Xenopus tropicalis: one gene and its partner. The protein of the gene in region 2 purifies or fractionates together with the protein of the main gene of each other region. This does not show direct contact. Links are inferred from orthologs where the notes say so. Each region holds a gene or a part of one and is shown on either strand. Other genes may lie near its edges.

Region 1 (7,868 bases), on a different chromosome or scaffold from region 2:
CCTACCTTCCCCTTCAATGTGTCTCCTCTGAGCCAAAAAACTCTATATAGAGTTATAATGGATCCCGTTACATTTCCAGCTAACTAACAGGTCAGGCCAATATCCGGCACATTGGTCATTACAGGTCATTAATACCAAGATTATAGGCTAAGGGCCTTCAGGTTTCTATAAATGAGTTTAGTGATCAACCTGGAAGTCTAGAGGAAGCTCCTAACCCAGACGTAACACACTAATGAAGGTGCCAGTCGGTGTTGCACATTGGGGTGCACATTGGGGTGCCAAGTCTTTACTGAAACTGGCCACGAGTCTTGCACGAGCATTGCATAAATCAGCTGCGGCAGTAAATGTGAGCAAAGAACCACTGAACATGAGGCCACATAAGAACACAAAGACATATAGTGCAGAGGCACGTGGCACAGCATAGCCGCCAATATGCACAATGACACCCCCATTTTGCCTTAGCACAGAAACAGGAGGCACAGGAGCAACACGTTTTGCTACACTGGAACCATTAGCTGAAAGGACAGAGAAAGCTGGCGTGGAAGTGTCTGTGGAGGGAGAGTAGTTACAGGGAGTGCTATTCAGTGGAGGGACTGTACTAGGTAAGGGGAATAAAGAGAAATATATCATAATAAAGAACATCAAGTGGAAACCACAGGTGCTCAGAGTGCGTTGCTTCCCCAGTAGGGTACAAAGTGAAGTAGAAAAGTCTTGGTAGGCCATAGTAATTGATTAGTTAGAAACCATACATACTTGTTATGACCTTCTGCATTGGGCTGGGGAAAGGTCAAAGTGACCAGAAGAAGATTGAATGCATGGGTAACAAATAGTAAGTGGTTAGTAGGACCATGGTCATGGGCGGTGAGGCTATCATCCTGGGGAAGGAGCTAAGGGAATGGCAGGTAGCCTTGCTGAACTGCTCTGGCACAGGTGCGCCAAAGTGGCCAAAGTGAACAGGCAGCAGGATGGCAGTGACTAGGAAGTGTCATGGTAGTCAATGGGAAGTCTAACGTTAGGGAGCAGGAAGTATGGTGGCATTGTAGGATAGGCCAGATGCTCATGGAGGGGAAGCTTGTGGTGAATTGTCTACAAAGTGGCATGGAAGTGTCACAGGAACTGATGGTGAGTCCCTTATGGTCACATACAGGGAGCCAGGGAACCACCAGGACATGTACAGAAGCCAACACATCTAGGTTGTGATGGGGAAACATAGTGGGGAGGAATAAAAATGGGACACCAGAAAGCCTGCAGCACAACATAAAGATGGCTGAGACAGGAAGCGCAAGAATTATGGGATACCTCTTAGGCAGGAACAAGGTGGTGGAGTGGTAAAGATTATGCTAAGGGAAAGGATAAAAAGGTTAGGGATTAATCATGAAAAGAAATAATGATGTTGATGCTTATGAGATATAACATTAAGGGGAACCGAAACCAAATATGTAATAAAAAAAACACATTGAAATAAAATTAAAATCATTGTTCCTATAAACCCACATAAATATTATTAGACCAGTTTGATGTCCCTCACACCTCATCCTCAAGTCTGTGCTTTGGTCATTAGGTAAGGTTGGTGACCCTGGGTGCCTTCTACCTGTAATGCTACTGTCTGGCACCAGGGATTTAGCCTCTTCACTCTGGGATGCACGGGTTAATCTGACCTGTGCAGCTCAACGTAGTGTTGATGTTCAACCCTGAGCTTTGCTGAGTCTATGGGATCTTCACACCACTAAAGGTCCACACATAAGGTCTTGCAGCAAAGAGGTCAGCAATGGGCTTTATCATAGCAAGAACAAGGCTTCAGAAGAATGGCTTCTGGTGGATCTTGCATGAATTCATCAACAACTATTGTTCTAGGCATGGGCAGGGGTTGGACAGATATGGATATTGGGTTGGTACCAACCCTGACTATTCCATTTTGAAGCCAGGAAGAAGGTTTAGACAAGACTATTACTGTTCCAGCCAATTATTAGAACAGATTGTTGGGGTTACTGAGATAAGGAGGGAGAAGAAATCATCCAAAGAGATGAGTATTGGGCTTGCCCAGTTTCTACACCCAGCAGGCAAGCTGTACAATGCAGATATCAGTGCTACTTTGAGATATATTGTACATACGGCACGTGGTGGCCTCAAAGATTCTTTTAGAAATGGTGATTGGAAATGCTGCCAACTGTGGCAAAAGGATGAGCTGGGACTTACCTTCCAGGTAGTTACGAGCAACAAATTTCAACAGTTCATCCAACAGGATGACAGGGATGGAAATCTTCAGGACAACAAACCACTGAGTGAAGTTCAGAGGAGTCAACTTGAAGATCATCTGTAGAGAAGAACGTTGGCAGTGAACTCAGGGAATCAAATGCTCTAGGGTTAAATGTCCAACGGTGGTTTGTATAATGCTCATCAACATCATATAGAATATACGTTGTACTCATGTGATTCTGTTTGAGCCAATCACTGTATTTCACTATCTCAAATTGTTTTACTAAAAGATAATGCAGCTCTACAGACAAAATGATGTGGGGACAACTCTCCAAAAGCTCAATGGCAGTAGAATAATATAAAGAATTACTTAGAGACAGAGAAGGTCTATGTACTTACTGGAAGTGGCTCAACATAGAGGATAAGGAAGTGGAGGGACATGGACAAGCAGATAGAGCCCAACAGCCAGATGTTCACCCATGGGGGCATCCTGACCAGAGACTGGTTCTCTGACAGACTGTAGGGGAAAAGATCAGAATTAGGAACAACAATTAAATGAGATATGGGAAATAGGGCTTTAAGCGAGAGAGAGGAAGGGACATAGATATGACACCAGAAGGAAGGTATGAAATGGTTCTTACCTGTTGAGGGCATTGCACATTTCAATGGTGACCAGCACAGACAGAGCCATGGTCATGGGTACAGGAGACTCAAAGATTTCACACTCCAGACCCTCAAAGTCAGCATTTTCCTCAGTGCACTGCATGAAATGGCTCTAAAGTAAGAATATCAAAAACATGTCAGTAGCTGGAAAATCTACTAGGAATCTACTAGGAAATGAAGTCTACGGATGGAAAATTATTGACTGAACCATCTGGAAAGCTATTGTTTTAGTGCAAAATCAGCATGGTCATTTGTTCTACAGTAGATAGCGCGCCACCTTAACAAGATCTTCTCCAACTTTACATTCTAGATAGAGAATAAAAGCTAAAAGAATGTAGATTTGGAACTGTTTGGAAGAAGACAGTAAGGATAATGATGTAGAGAAACTGGGTAAGTGGGAGAAAGGGTGGCACAGGATTGGCAATGAGAAAAGGCATCCTCACCAGCTGGTAGAAAGTAACTTCAGGTCCATCATCGGCATACATGAACCACCAGGCAGCTGCTCCAACAGTGGCGGCACCCACATAACCTACAGATACAAAGTGAACCAATGAAGAGTCATGGTACAGACCCATTATATTTTAAGTATCTGTAGTGAGATAACTGAGGAAGCTGCAGTGATAGATGGCACGCATCATTACCTCCAATGGCCAAGTAACGGAAGAAAAGCCATCCACTGATCAGGGGCTCCTTGGGGCTACGAGGTGGCCTGTCCATAATGTCAAGATCTGGGGGGTTAAAGCCCAGGGCTGTGGCTGGCAGACCATCTGTGACCAGGTTGACCCACAGCAGTTGAACAGGGATCAGAGCTTCAGGAAGACCCAGAGCAGCAGTCAAGAAGATACTATAGAGTGGAGATGGGTAAAACAGGACCAGTAAGGGGTTTTGCCCTAATGCACTTTTTCTTATAGCAGAACTTCAACAGAGACCCTGTTTGTACTCACCAGACAACCTCTCCTACATTGGAAGAGATGAGGTAGCGGATAAACTGCTTCATGTTGTTGTAGATGGCACGGCCTTCTTCTACTGCAGCCACAATTGTGGAGAAGTTGTCATCGGCCAACACCATCTCAGAGGCTGTCTTGGCCACAGCAGTACCAGAGCCCATAGCAATACCAATCTCAGCCTTTTTCAGAGCTGGGGCATCATTCACACCATCACCAGTCTGTGAAAGTAAAAATTAGACAGTGACTTATGCATCAAGAGACGGCACCAGAATGGGATGTATTGCTTTAGAGGCTTTACTATAGGGTTGTATTGAGCTTCCCCAGCACTCACCATAGCTGTGATCTCATCGAAGGATTGCAGGAACTCTACGATCTTGGACTTGTGTGTGGGCTCCACTCTGGCAAAGCAGGAAGCACGCTTGCAGGCCTCTCTTTGTTCTGTAGGGGGCAGGTCATCAAACTCACGTCCAGTGAAGGCACATCTAGACACATCGTCATCCTCACCGAAGATGCCAATACGACGGCAGATGGCAATGGCTGTTCCTTTGTTGTCACCAGTGATCATAATGACACGGATACCAGCCTCACGACAGAGCTTGATTGAGCCCATGACTTCTTTACGAGGGGGGTCCAACATGCCCACGCAACCAACGAAGGTGAGATCAGTCTGAAGGAAGAGAGTAATGGTCAATGATAGTTGCTTCCAACTTTACCGATACCTCATTGATACCTCATTGCCCTCTTACGCTTAGCAGAGGAGTTTTGTTCGTGTGAATGATTCAAGGTTTTGATGGGTTGAAGAAAATAAATAAAGCTAGATTATAAAATGTAAACTCTACCTCATAGTCAACAAACTTGGTGGCGTCATCGAGCACCATCTCTTCCCTTTTGGGTGGGGTGTCCCTTGTAGCCAGAGCAAGACAACGCAGAGTGTCTCTGCCGGTTCCCCATTCCTTGATCACAGTCAGAATCTTATCCTTGATGGCTGGAGTAAGTGGAACGCGGGTTGTGCCCACACGTACGTAGTTGCACCTGTCAATGACACCCTCTGGGGCACCCTGTCATAGGGAAGAGTACATATAGATTGAAGGTTGAGAAAAGGGGGTGCAGCTATATAGAATGTATTGTACTGATAGTAATATCCCAAAATGTCACCTTCACAAACATCTTGTTGCCAACGGCAGCGCGGGAAGCTTTGGCTGGGGTGCAGTAGACGGACATTGACTTCCTGTCACGGGAGAACTCCAGGGTGAACTCTTTCTTCATCAACTGCTTGATCACCTGTGGATGTGGGGGTAATTTTTCTGTTAACAACAGAGCATTGTGGGACGTTCATTTGTTTTTGTGCCATTATAATGTACATTATAGCATCAAGAGACTTTAGTTCCAAAACAAGCACATGTTGGTCAGCAATAGCCCAGAATCCTTAGGGTGGTGAAGCCTTGGAAAGACCTGGCCCCAGGCTTACTAGGCTGGAGTTACATGACACTCTGCTGGCTCTATATAATTCTACAATGGCAGCTGCTTGGGGTAGTAGGTTACAACATGCTATCATTAAGTTTCTTGGTCATGACAAGTAGGAGGCAGGTGCATGGTGTAGAAACGTTGATGATACATTGCAGGCAGCCTGTTGCATAATAGGGTATCAATAACAGTACCGGGCTGGCAGCTGGTGTAACATATCCCATGAGGTGGAGTATTTATGGGTATGAGAAAGTTATATGGCCATGGTAGTTGGGGAAATGTGGGCACCATGAAAGGGTAATGGTTTTGTTGTAGGGATTTGAAGTAGTAGGCCCTTTGTGAGCGGGCTTGTACATTCTATATTGACCGATGGCGCTAGAGCTCCACAATGGCGCCGGTACTCACAGAGTTGCAGGCGTTGGCGCGCTCCACTTTGGACAGGCTCCTCACTTCTGTGTTGAACACATTCATTTTCTCAACAAGAGTTGTCAGTGCAGTCTCGGTGGCTTCTCCAACCTTCTCAAAGACTCCTTTGGACTGTCAGAGAAATATGGAAGGTCAGTCTGACTTTCTATGCTGAGGCTTAGAATAAGCATAAACCTCACTCTCTGTACATGTCAATGTATCAAATGTCAAAAGGCCTAGAGCTAAAACAGAATCACAACATGTCTAAGCCCATAATATACCTCCTATGGGTCCAGATTCTACAGCTTGAGTATGGAAATCATAAAATGGAGCAGTTCTGGCCCAGAACCTTTCCAATTAACTACAACAACCTTTCCAGTATCTTTATGTTAACTTAGTATTGCTCTAGAACTTGCCCATCACAGAATGTAACCAATTAGGGATAAGAGAACATCTAAACATGGGGATATTCATCATCTCTGATTTTACCTCATTGTAGTCGAGAGAAGAGTCATTGCAAAGTGCACAGATTGTGGCCAATTCAACCAGCCCATCATACTGGCCAGCTTTCACGGACTTATCGTTCTTCAGACTGAGAGACAGAGGTTGGAAAGAACATGGCAGTGCAGGGTGACATGAAGGAAAGGTCGGTATAGGAAAAGAAAAAGAAAGAAAATGAAGAAATGAGGATTGTGAAGTTGAGAAAAAAATGGAGAGATAAACATGGATAATAAAGTGTGAATGGGATTTGGGAGATATGATGCTACTAGCCATAGGAAGCAGAGAAAATAGAGGAGAGTGTGTAAAAAGATTAAAATGTTGGATGAAACCATGAAAGGGGTTGATGGAAGGTCAGTGAGAACTTTCTCTTCTCTCCTAGTCACCCCAACAGCCCTCAGCACAGAGACACTATATGTCAGGGAACCCCAACCTTTCTGTGAGCCACAGTCACATGTAAAAAGACTTGGACACAAGCACCATAACAGTTCATGGAGGAGCCAAATAAGGGCTGTGATTGGCTATTAAGCAGCCTCTATGCACCCTATCAGCTTACAGGGGGCTCTATTTGGTAGGAAATCTTGTTTTTATTCAACCAAAAGTCAGGAATTCAAAAATAACTAGCTGGTTTGGGCAACATGTTGCCCCCAAGCCAATGGTTGGGGATCACTGCTATATGTGGTATGTTCCATTGAGACCCAAACAGGGTTGGAGAAAAGATGTGTTGAGCTGTGTATGTAAAAGACAATAAGTACTCACACTTCTCCCTCTGGGGCATAGGTGGATCCTGTGATGGAGAATTCATTCAAGGAGCAGATGTCACCATCAACTTTGTCGAGCACGAACATCTAGGGTCAAGAAAACAGTTTTTAGGTTTTGCAATTGATGGACCATGGAATTGCAACTGGACTAGAAGTCTATTGAATGGGATAACCTGGTGATAATCTAGGTATTTAATAACATAAGGCTGAACTTACTCTGCACACAGACATCTGGTTGGTGGTCAAGGTGCCAGTCTTGTCTGAGCAGATGACAGAAGTGCAACCCAAGGTTTCTACAGAGGGCAAACTCCTCACAATAGCGTTCTTCTTGGCCATACGTCTTGTACCCAGAGCCAGACAAGTGGTGATTACAGCTGGAAGACCTGTCCATGGAAATGAATTGTGATTAGATTCACACTGAATTAAACTGCCCCACGTGTGCAGTGTTATATATCGGGGCAATAAGAGACCTACCCTCAGGGATAGCAGCAACAGCCAAGGCCACAGCAATCTTGAAGTAGTAAATGGCGCCCTTGATCCAAGAGCCACCGTGGATGGGGTCATTGAAGTGTCCAATGTTGATCAACCACACAGCAACGCAGATGAGAGAGATGACTTTGGACAATTGCTCTCCAAACTCATCCAGTTTCTGCTGCAGGGGGGTCTTTTCCTGTTCTGTTGCCGCCATCTCATCACGGATCTTGCCAATTTCTGTATTGGGTCCTGTGGCAATGACAACACCAATGGCCTTGCCAGCTCCAACATTGGTACCCTGGGGAATTAGAAAACAATGAGAATGGGTCAGAAAGAAGTTCAAGTCCAACTACCACTGTTAGACTCCTGCACTCTAAGAACGCCCTCAGCCAACTGAAGCTCCTCAACTTGAAATCACGAGTCTTAACATACTCAAACAGGTTTAGTAACGGAACCCTAT
Region 2 (8,516 bases):
TTACTTATATATCCATGTCTGACATCACAAAGTGGGCAGCGTAAGTATAGAAATTAAATGTGACAGTGGCATTTGAACGGGGCAGTTTATCAGAGGACTGGGGAAAAGGAGCAGTGGGAAGGATCCTTAACCTCATTTGCCCGATCTAGCCAGAAAGTAGGGTGCACCCGAACGCTCTAGATCTTGTGGGTATTGGGCCAGCACCAAACCACTGCTGTACAGCACATGAAATTAACTATGAAACGCTACTTAGGCACACAGCCCTCTAGAATAGAATGCAATTGCCAAGTTTCTACCTAGGGGTCGGTCGGTGCTCCATTTAGGACAGAAATCTTACTTATCTTTCCCAGGAGTGCATACTCTGCACATGTGCAGTAGAGTAACACAAGTGTTTAGTGTGCACTAAAGAGTGTGTGAGTGGTGCTGTGTTTTTTTTTTCTAAAAGAAGCACAGGTCATGAAAAAAAAAATGAGTGATTGCATCTACTAGGTGGTGCCTAACATACTGACAGCCCTCAGTGATGGAGGCTTTCCTTGTCCTGTAGGGTTTATGACTAACAACAATTTGTCAAATTCCAGCAGCCACCAAGTTTCCTAAAATATTTTTTTAGTTCAAGATACTGGGGGTCACTACATGTAAAACACATAACAAGTTGCAATGCAGCTTAATCATGGCAAAATGTGGAAGATTCCATTTTCCTGCAATTTAACCAGATTGCTGCATGTAAAACACTTCACATGTGGAGATCCCCCCCAGTCTCCTATTTTTAGGCACTGTCACTAATGGGAGAGGTGAAAGAGTGACAATAAATTATGTGAATGCAGCTGTGCAACTGCATGCAGTGCTGCTTTATTAATGCAAACAAATTATACAAAGCACAAATCAGTCACAGTTAGATCATGCAAGTTACAACGCAGTGTATCTCAGGATATTAGCTGTACCAAAAAGCAAGAAGGGCATTCTTAAAGGAACATGGATCATCAAACCATTCCTGTTATTGGGGGGGGGGGAAAATGAAATCCATTGATACTCCATTCCTTGTTACTAACTATACCCAGTTTCTTGGGACAGACCCATAACGACAACTGCATGGTAATGTTTTCCAAGAGATTATATTTAATGACATACACTTCTGCCTACTATATACCTCCAACACTGTCCATGTCTCTGAAATTCTAAAGGACTAATGGTCCCAAGTGTGCCTGAAACTGCAGTCTACTCATTTTCTGTTTAATGTACTAGCATTAATGAATTTTCCTTTTTAGGGAAGGTATGAAAAGGCAGCTTTGAGCTGACATTACATTAGGACTAGGATTCTCTGTCACTTCTGCACAAATCTATTCTACTAAACATGCAGACTTTCAAGTGAAAATGTAATGATATTGTAACACAGCATAAAAGGTTAATTTTCATCATATTTAATTATCCAATTGCTTAACTTATACTGTCTTATTTTCAATGACCTTATAAATGTATTACTTATATATTGAAATTTTTTTGTATGCCTTAGAAACTCATTTTCTGTTACTCTTCTTATAAATTGTATCATGGTCCTTTCTAGCTAGCAGATAAAGAGTACAGAGTTTGTCAGGAGTCTTGAGGAATAATTCCTCTGATATTCATCCTTTATGTGCCATAAAGCAAGATAGGGCTGTTGTTAGAACTAAAAAGGCAGAATAAACACCACTTTATAACAGGGTACACTACAACTACAAAAGGACACATAAAAAAACTGTGTACATGATTATACTCAAGAACATTTTTTGAAAGCTTAAATAGTTCCTAAGCAAAGTTTCTATAGATGTCAGTGGGAACTGTCTCAATTAAGTTTATTTAATTTATTTTTTTCCCAGTTGAGATTTCCAGCCTTATTCAAATTGACTATTATTATTTTTCAAAATGGCATACCCCTCAATAGAGCAGTTACCACCACCTACTAAGATTTCTTTAATGTAATAACACCTGACAGATCACTCAGAATTATGGTTAATTAGTTCATCTCTATATCCTAAGCCAGGGGTCATTAGACACTTTCAAATGTAAAAAGATTTGGGGAGGAAAACAAGCATAAAAATATGCACCTGGGGTACTAAATAAGGACTATGATTGGTCATTTGAGATCCCATATGTGGACTAGTAGCCTACAGGAGAGTCTGTTTGGCAGTACACCTGGTTTTATGCAACTAAACCAAGGCAGAAATTTAAAAATAAGCACCTTCTCTGGGGCAACTGGGAGCAATATCTATGGGGCTGGTAAACAACATTTTGCTCCCAAACCAGTGGTTTGGGACCACTCCTAAGGGCTCTGGCACACGGGGAGATTAGTCGCCCGCGGCAAAACTCCATGTTCGCGGGCGACCAATCTCTCCGAGTTGCCTTCCCCCTGCATCCCACCGGCGAACATGTAAGTCACCCGCGAACAGGGAGTTTTGCCGCGGGCGACTAATCTCCCCGTGTGCCAGAGCCCTAAACCTTTACATGGCTTGTTAATAATGCTTGCCATTAAGAAATACTTTGCATTTTAACTGCCACAATAAAGCTTTTTCACACAAGTGTGACAATACATTTTTCTGCAAAGTCCATTGTTAATAAGAAGAAACAAGTACACAACCACTTGTAGCAGAACAGAAAGAGAAGTCGGTAAAACAAATGCAAGATTTCACATACACAAAAAATATAATCTATAATTATATTAGTGGTCCCAAATGAACATGTTTTATCTTAAGCTAGTATTTTCTTACAGCTTTTATCCAAAAACTTTAGTGCAGATAATTAGGTAAACAACAGTTGATTTGCATTTTTAGAACTATGTCAATCAAATAGCCCATTCGTTTATGGGAAGAACTGCAACAGAGAACTTGCAGGCACATAACAATTATTATGTTTTATCAGTTCATCTCACTCTAAGGGAACTTTTGATTAATTCTAAGGAAGGAAACCACAGCCAATCTTAACAACAAACTGCAAAATTCTTTCCAAATATCAGGAGTCCTGCCTCTCACTGCGATTCTGCTTCCAACCACCCCTCACTCTCTCATTTCCACACCTCCTCAATTGTTGTAATAAACTGAGCGACAGCCCCCAGCCCTGCCACTGAGCTCAAGGCAAGCTGCCGAACACTTCCCACTGCAAAACTACTTACTAACAACAAAATTTCAATAAGGTAAGGGCATCTGCACTGTGAAACTAAATAATATTGCTTTTTAACATGCTTTGCATGTTGGCTTGCAGATCAAAGCAGCTTTATCCTGATACATACATTTCAGTCTGCAACTAAAATTGTCATCTAATTTACATGTAAGTGATATGAGTAGGTTTTAATTTTCAGTCTGCAATTCATTTATTTGGAATTCCTATTTTCAGCTAATAAAAGAAAAAGAAAGGTATTACAACCAGTTGTATAAGCTTGGGATTATTTGCAAAGATATGCAGCATCCATATTATATTTAGCTGACTGTCTCACAGACAATTATGTCCCTTGTGGGCTGTAAAAATATTGCTCTTTTAACAGACAGCTGCCAGCATTCTAGGGGGTTCTGGGAAATATAGCTTTTAACAGCTGGATGGGCTCTTTGACGTCTGTAGAACAGTATATAATGTAAATTATATTTATTGTAAGAAAATACTTTAATGTATGTCAATAGAATAATGGAATACATTTGTCAAACTCATCAGTTCCCCATGTCTTGGAACTTCAGATGTATTATTTTTAGGGCTGCTGAATGCAAATAAACACTGGAAATAGTCATGTATTTCTAATGCTGGGAAGCATGTTTGTGATAGCATGGGGAGGTCAAAATGTTAATGAGAAAGGTTCTCATAGGCATTTAGCCTGGAAACCAAGCCAAAAACTATGGAAGGAAATGTAATTGAGGCATTACAGCACAAAGAAAAAAAAAGTAGGGGGAAATATTTTAGTAGAGTGTTGGAAACTGGAAAGTAAGTCTGAGCACCATAGCCTATATTTCCTATATAGTATCACAAGGGCAAAAAGTGGCCCACATAGCAACTTTTTGAATGCTCTATGGCTCACTGTAATTGCTTACTCTGTTTAGATCTGCAGACGAGCAATTTTAAAGAGATAGAGTCTTGAGACTTTGCACCCTGTATATAAATGAGCAAAGCTTTAGCTAGTTGTTTTCTTTAAGCTCTGTATATACAGGCATTTGTCTTGCTGTTGGTGATGCACTTCCCAGTGTACACATTTACCACAGATGAACACTGTCCAGAGGGAGTGCATCTTCAGATCAGCATGACATGTTTCAGCTCAGTTCACCAGCAGGCAACACAGAATATAGAACATCAAAATGGCTCATTATGCAAAATATAAATACCACTATAAATAGTCACTGTTGGTGGTGCAACATGTTCCCTGGATACCTGGCCAGCCATTTACCATTTAAATAAAAGATCAGGACTCAAACAGTCCAATTTTAATTTACCCAACACCAATAGTGACCAAGGGGGTATGACCTTCCTTCTTCAGGGTATGTGATACATATATAGATTGAAACAAATATTGTGGAAATACACAATAATTTATAAGTGTAATAATTTCTTCTATTTTTAGATGGATATTCAGCTATATATTAGCTGTATTTTACCTGCATGTACAACACTAATTATAATGTTGCAGTCTTTTCATGAAACTTTCATGTCAAAGGGAGGAGCTGATTTTGGGTGCTTTTCAACCAGATAAAAAGGGTAAAATAAAAATCACACTGTGTGCCATCAAACTAGATATCCTTCAAATGCAAATAAAACAAATGTGGTTAAAATCCAATGCAGCAATCTGCATCCAAATGTTGCTTTTACATAAGAAGTAAGGCCAAGTTTGGGCAATCTACAAACCTCCAGAATTTGACTTAATGGCTAGCCCAAGATCATGAAATACTTTACTTTAGAGGGGAGTGTTGTTTGTGACATTCCTGGCCAAGCAGTAGTTAATACCTAATAACATAATCCTTTTGTTTACCAGGAATAATTTCAAGAGCCAGGCGGAGTAAGGGACTATTGGCCATGGCTCAGGGAGTACAAGCTATCCCACATAACAAACAGCACAAATAGTTTCATAATTTCTCCACTGGTGACCTTTTCCAAATCCAATATGATCTTTAGCCTACCCAAGGGCTTTAGTAAACTATGAAGGGGCATTCTTGCATCAGCCTTATTTTATTTCTTTGTAACGATTTCAAGTTTAAAAAAAAAAAAAAAAAAATAGTGGAAAAGAAACATTTTAATAAGTGGGTTAACCCACCTCCTATATAAAGCATGATAAAATTGTTTTGAAAGACAAATGTAAAAGTTTATTACAATAATAAAAAGAATACACCCTTATTACACTTTGCTGTCACTGTAAGCTTCATGAATGAACTTACTTGTGTTTGTTCACTTGAATTTATTTAACCATGACCTTTTACAAACGTATCTTATGTGAAGAGCCGAATGGGAAAAAAAATTATACTTTTGCTGGCCAAAAAAATCAAGACAAATGCTGGAATGCCTCCTAGGCTTTACTAAGCAATAGCTTTAATAATGAATCATCTCTCAGACAAGGATCTTACACAAAAATGGAAACAAGTATCTTTTTCTAAAAACAGTATATAACTTATAACCTTAACTCATCAGTACAATGCCTCTACACTACAATGAATTTGAAATTCAGTAGATATTTACTTTTGGTAATCTGCACATCAAACGGTCTGTCCAGCTGGAGGCCCATGGGCTAGATGCAGTCCTCTAAGTTATTTTTTGCTTCATGGACATATCTGAATGAGCCTGTGATATAAATGGGCTACACATATGCATTTAGAATTGTGTGTAGTTTGATTTTTGTGTTAAAATATTTCAGAGGATGCAAATAACTCATAGTATACAACTCTTTCCTGATATAACATGAATTAAGACTTTTTTTTTTTTTTTGTTAGCTGATCCTTTAGCTAGCAGCATATCATGTGTACATGCCATGCACCCCCAATACTCTCTGGCAGAAAGTTTCCAGTCTAGTGTCCTCCTACAAGTTTCAAGCTTCAAATTATATATCTCTAGAAAGCTCAGTAACTTGTGTAGTTGGTACACAGCGTGGCCTTGTGTGTTCTGGCCTTTATTATAATAAAGGTACAGGCTGTAGGTACATGGAGTAGCTCTTGGTACTGTTACTTGTTCTTCTAGTGCATGAACATACAGGACACACAAGTAGCATACAAGGGACCACAGACACTGGGGCTGCTTGCTAGAATTATGAAGAATTTTTATCTTTATTTTTGTCCCACTTTAGTTTCACTGAACAGTCAACCACATAAGGACCGTTTATTACTATGGTGTCAAGCAGCCTGCTAATATATAGTGCAGACCACTGCATACCTATAAACACAGCAGTATATACCTCTGGTTTGTATCTCTCCATAAGATTAGCGTTGAAATCCCAGTCAAAACTGGAATGCTCAACAGCCCAGACCGACTGAGTTTTCTTAACCTAATATGGAATGTAAAATCAAGCAGCAGTATCTCACAAAAAGACTAATTTAAAACCAAATATTCACCTTAAGGCTAAAAAAATGTAGAGAAATAAAAACAGAAAACAAAAATAACAGCGGAGAAGCAGATGTGTCTGTTAATAAATAACTATAACAATAATCACATGTATATATTATTGCATTCACTTGACATAAATGGCAACTAATCAGCAGTTAGAGATGACAGATTTTCTGCTGTTTGATTAATGAAAGCAATGATGATAGGTAACTGGTTTAAGAGAGCATTCCTGTGTTTACAGGAATAATGTTGTGTGTTTTACAGATTGATTACATTTCTTCTATATAGAATGTAGCACTGTAATATAAGTTCTGACCATGAGAAAGAGATCACTGGGAGGTACTTTGACCCTATAAGAAATGTGTGTTTTTATGATCCTTGGGGACTTACTTTCTCTCTTGTGCTAACATTTATATATTTTACAATATGCAAAGCTAGTCTGAGAAGTAACAAGTTATCTGTAAACTAAAATAACATATTTTTATGGTGCACGCATCAGCCGTAGTGTGGAGTCTGCATGGAGCAGTGATGCTTAGTAACTTGCATGATTTACTTGCACTTTAAGGTCCCTAACTCTCCACTCTACTACTTACCCAGCTTCAAGTGAGGGAGAAGATTCAGGCCCTTTCTTTTCAACGAACACGGACACAACTTTCTCTCTGTCTGCACTGCACTATAATCTGTCACCTGCACCTCTCTGCCCTCTCGTGTAGCCATGGAGAAGGTCCAGCACATAACCCGCTCGGCTATGAGGAGAGCCTCAAACATTGAGGTCAACCCACAGACCCGGCAAAACCTGCAGGAGCTTTTTGTCAATTTCTCTCTGATTCTTATTTGCCTGTTGCTCATCTGTATAATTGTCATGCTTCTCTGAGGCTTCCTACTGCGTACAAGAAAGACAGACTATACATATGCCTACTGAAAGGAATTGGCACTCACCTCTGTAAAGATGTGGCACTATTTATAAGCTTGCACAATGGTTAGTCTCCCAATTGTGTATACAGTGTACTATTTTATTGTATGTATTGTATGTAAGTTCCATTTCTAACTATTAATTGCATACAGTGGGATGTTTATAAATGGCTGTCCTTGTATTAGATGGCTATATTTATAGAGGTAGCATACAACAGTTCTTGCCATTATCTGTCATCCTGGAAACCTGCATAGTCTTGGTTACTGTTAGTTGTATGTTGTCTTCTTACTGTGTTCATTATGATGGTGTGTGAACATTAAATATAAGCATGATCACAGCCCCTGAATTTTAATTTGCTAATCACTAAGTTGCAACATTTCCAAGAATATTACATTTGACCTAGACTATATTTTAGGCATTGTATTGCTGATATTTTAACAAAACACATGCAACATACACAGGCCACATCTAAATGCAAGCTGTTAGTTTTATTGTACACACAACAAAATGTAGTGGTTCAGTACCTTTGGCCTTAGTGTTAGTAGAAGTGTCATCAATAAATTTGTCCTAAGTAAACTCAACAAAAAAATTCTCTTTTCAGAACACAAGACATTTATCTGGTGTGATTTTTCCCCATAACAATAATACAAACTTATGTAAACAGCAGTAAAGATTATTCATTGTCTGACAAACAAACAAGAATAAGCAGACAATTTATGAAGACACTGCCCCTATGGAGACACCTGCTTTAGACACACACCTGTGTTTCATTCCACAATTTATCTCAACTGCTTTATACTAACAAAATAAAAATGAGAAAATCTTTGCAATCTTTTCAAAGAAATAGGGTTTCGGTTTTTTTTTCTAAACAATTTGCAAAAAAAAGACAGGAGAGTATGCATCTAAATGCAATGTTACACAGTCATCTATATTAAACTAAGTACACAAAAATATTAAAAAGCCCTGTAATTATAAAGTGGAATTTGTAATCTGGTCCATTCTAGCATTCATGTAAATAGGCCAATAAGAGTATTGAGTCAGCACTAAACTATGTAAATCATCTTAAACT

What was found. The genes of interacting proteins can lie anywhere in the genome.
Region 1: the proteins of pln (region 2) and atp2a1 purify together in Homo sapiens (affinity purification with western blotting, with the first as the bait; 3 studies listed by BioGRID). This does not show direct contact. The link is inferred for Xenopus tropicalis from reciprocal best matches to the Homo sapiens genes PLN and ATP2A1.

The regions. Positions count from the first base shown.
Region 1 is NC_030685.2:603,304-611,171, forward strand, and holds part of atp2a1 (sarcoplasmic/endoplasmic reticulum calcium ATPase 1), read right to left. Parts: intron 7,707-7,868; coding exon 7,409-7,706; intron 7,318-7,408; coding exon 7,151-7,317; intron 7,022-7,150; coding exon 6,933-7,021; intron 6,268-6,932; coding exon 6,165-6,267; intron 5,808-6,164; coding exon 5,676-5,807; intron 5,088-5,675; coding exon 4,962-5,087; intron 4,865-4,961; coding exon 4,646-4,864; intron 4,474-4,645; coding exon 4,138-4,473; intron 4,025-4,137; coding exon 3,804-4,024; intron 3,704-3,803; coding exon 3,501-3,703; intron 3,389-3,500; coding exon 3,303-3,388; intron 2,972-3,302; coding exon 2,838-2,971; intron 2,714-2,837; coding exon 2,596-2,713; intron 2,315-2,595; coding exon 2,197-2,314; intron 1,341-2,196; coding exon 1,336-1,340; 3' UTR 1,300-1,335; intron 1-1,299. UniProt on the Homo sapiens protein: Key regulator of striated muscle performance by acting as the major Ca(2+) ATPase responsible for the reuptake of cytosolic Ca(2+) into the sarcoplasmic reticulum.
Region 2 is NC_030681.2:73,812,657-73,821,172, reverse strand, and holds the start of pln (cardiac phospholamban), read left to right. Parts: upstream 1-3,056; 5' UTR 3,057-3,163; intron 3,164-7,099; exon of another isoform or gene 7,100-7,131; 5' UTR 7,132-7,249; coding exon 7,250-7,408; 3' UTR 7,409-7,513; intron 7,514-8,516. UniProt on the Homo sapiens protein: Reversibly inhibits the activity of ATP2A2/SERCA2 in cardiac sarcoplasmic reticulum by decreasing the apparent affinity of the ATPase for Ca(2+).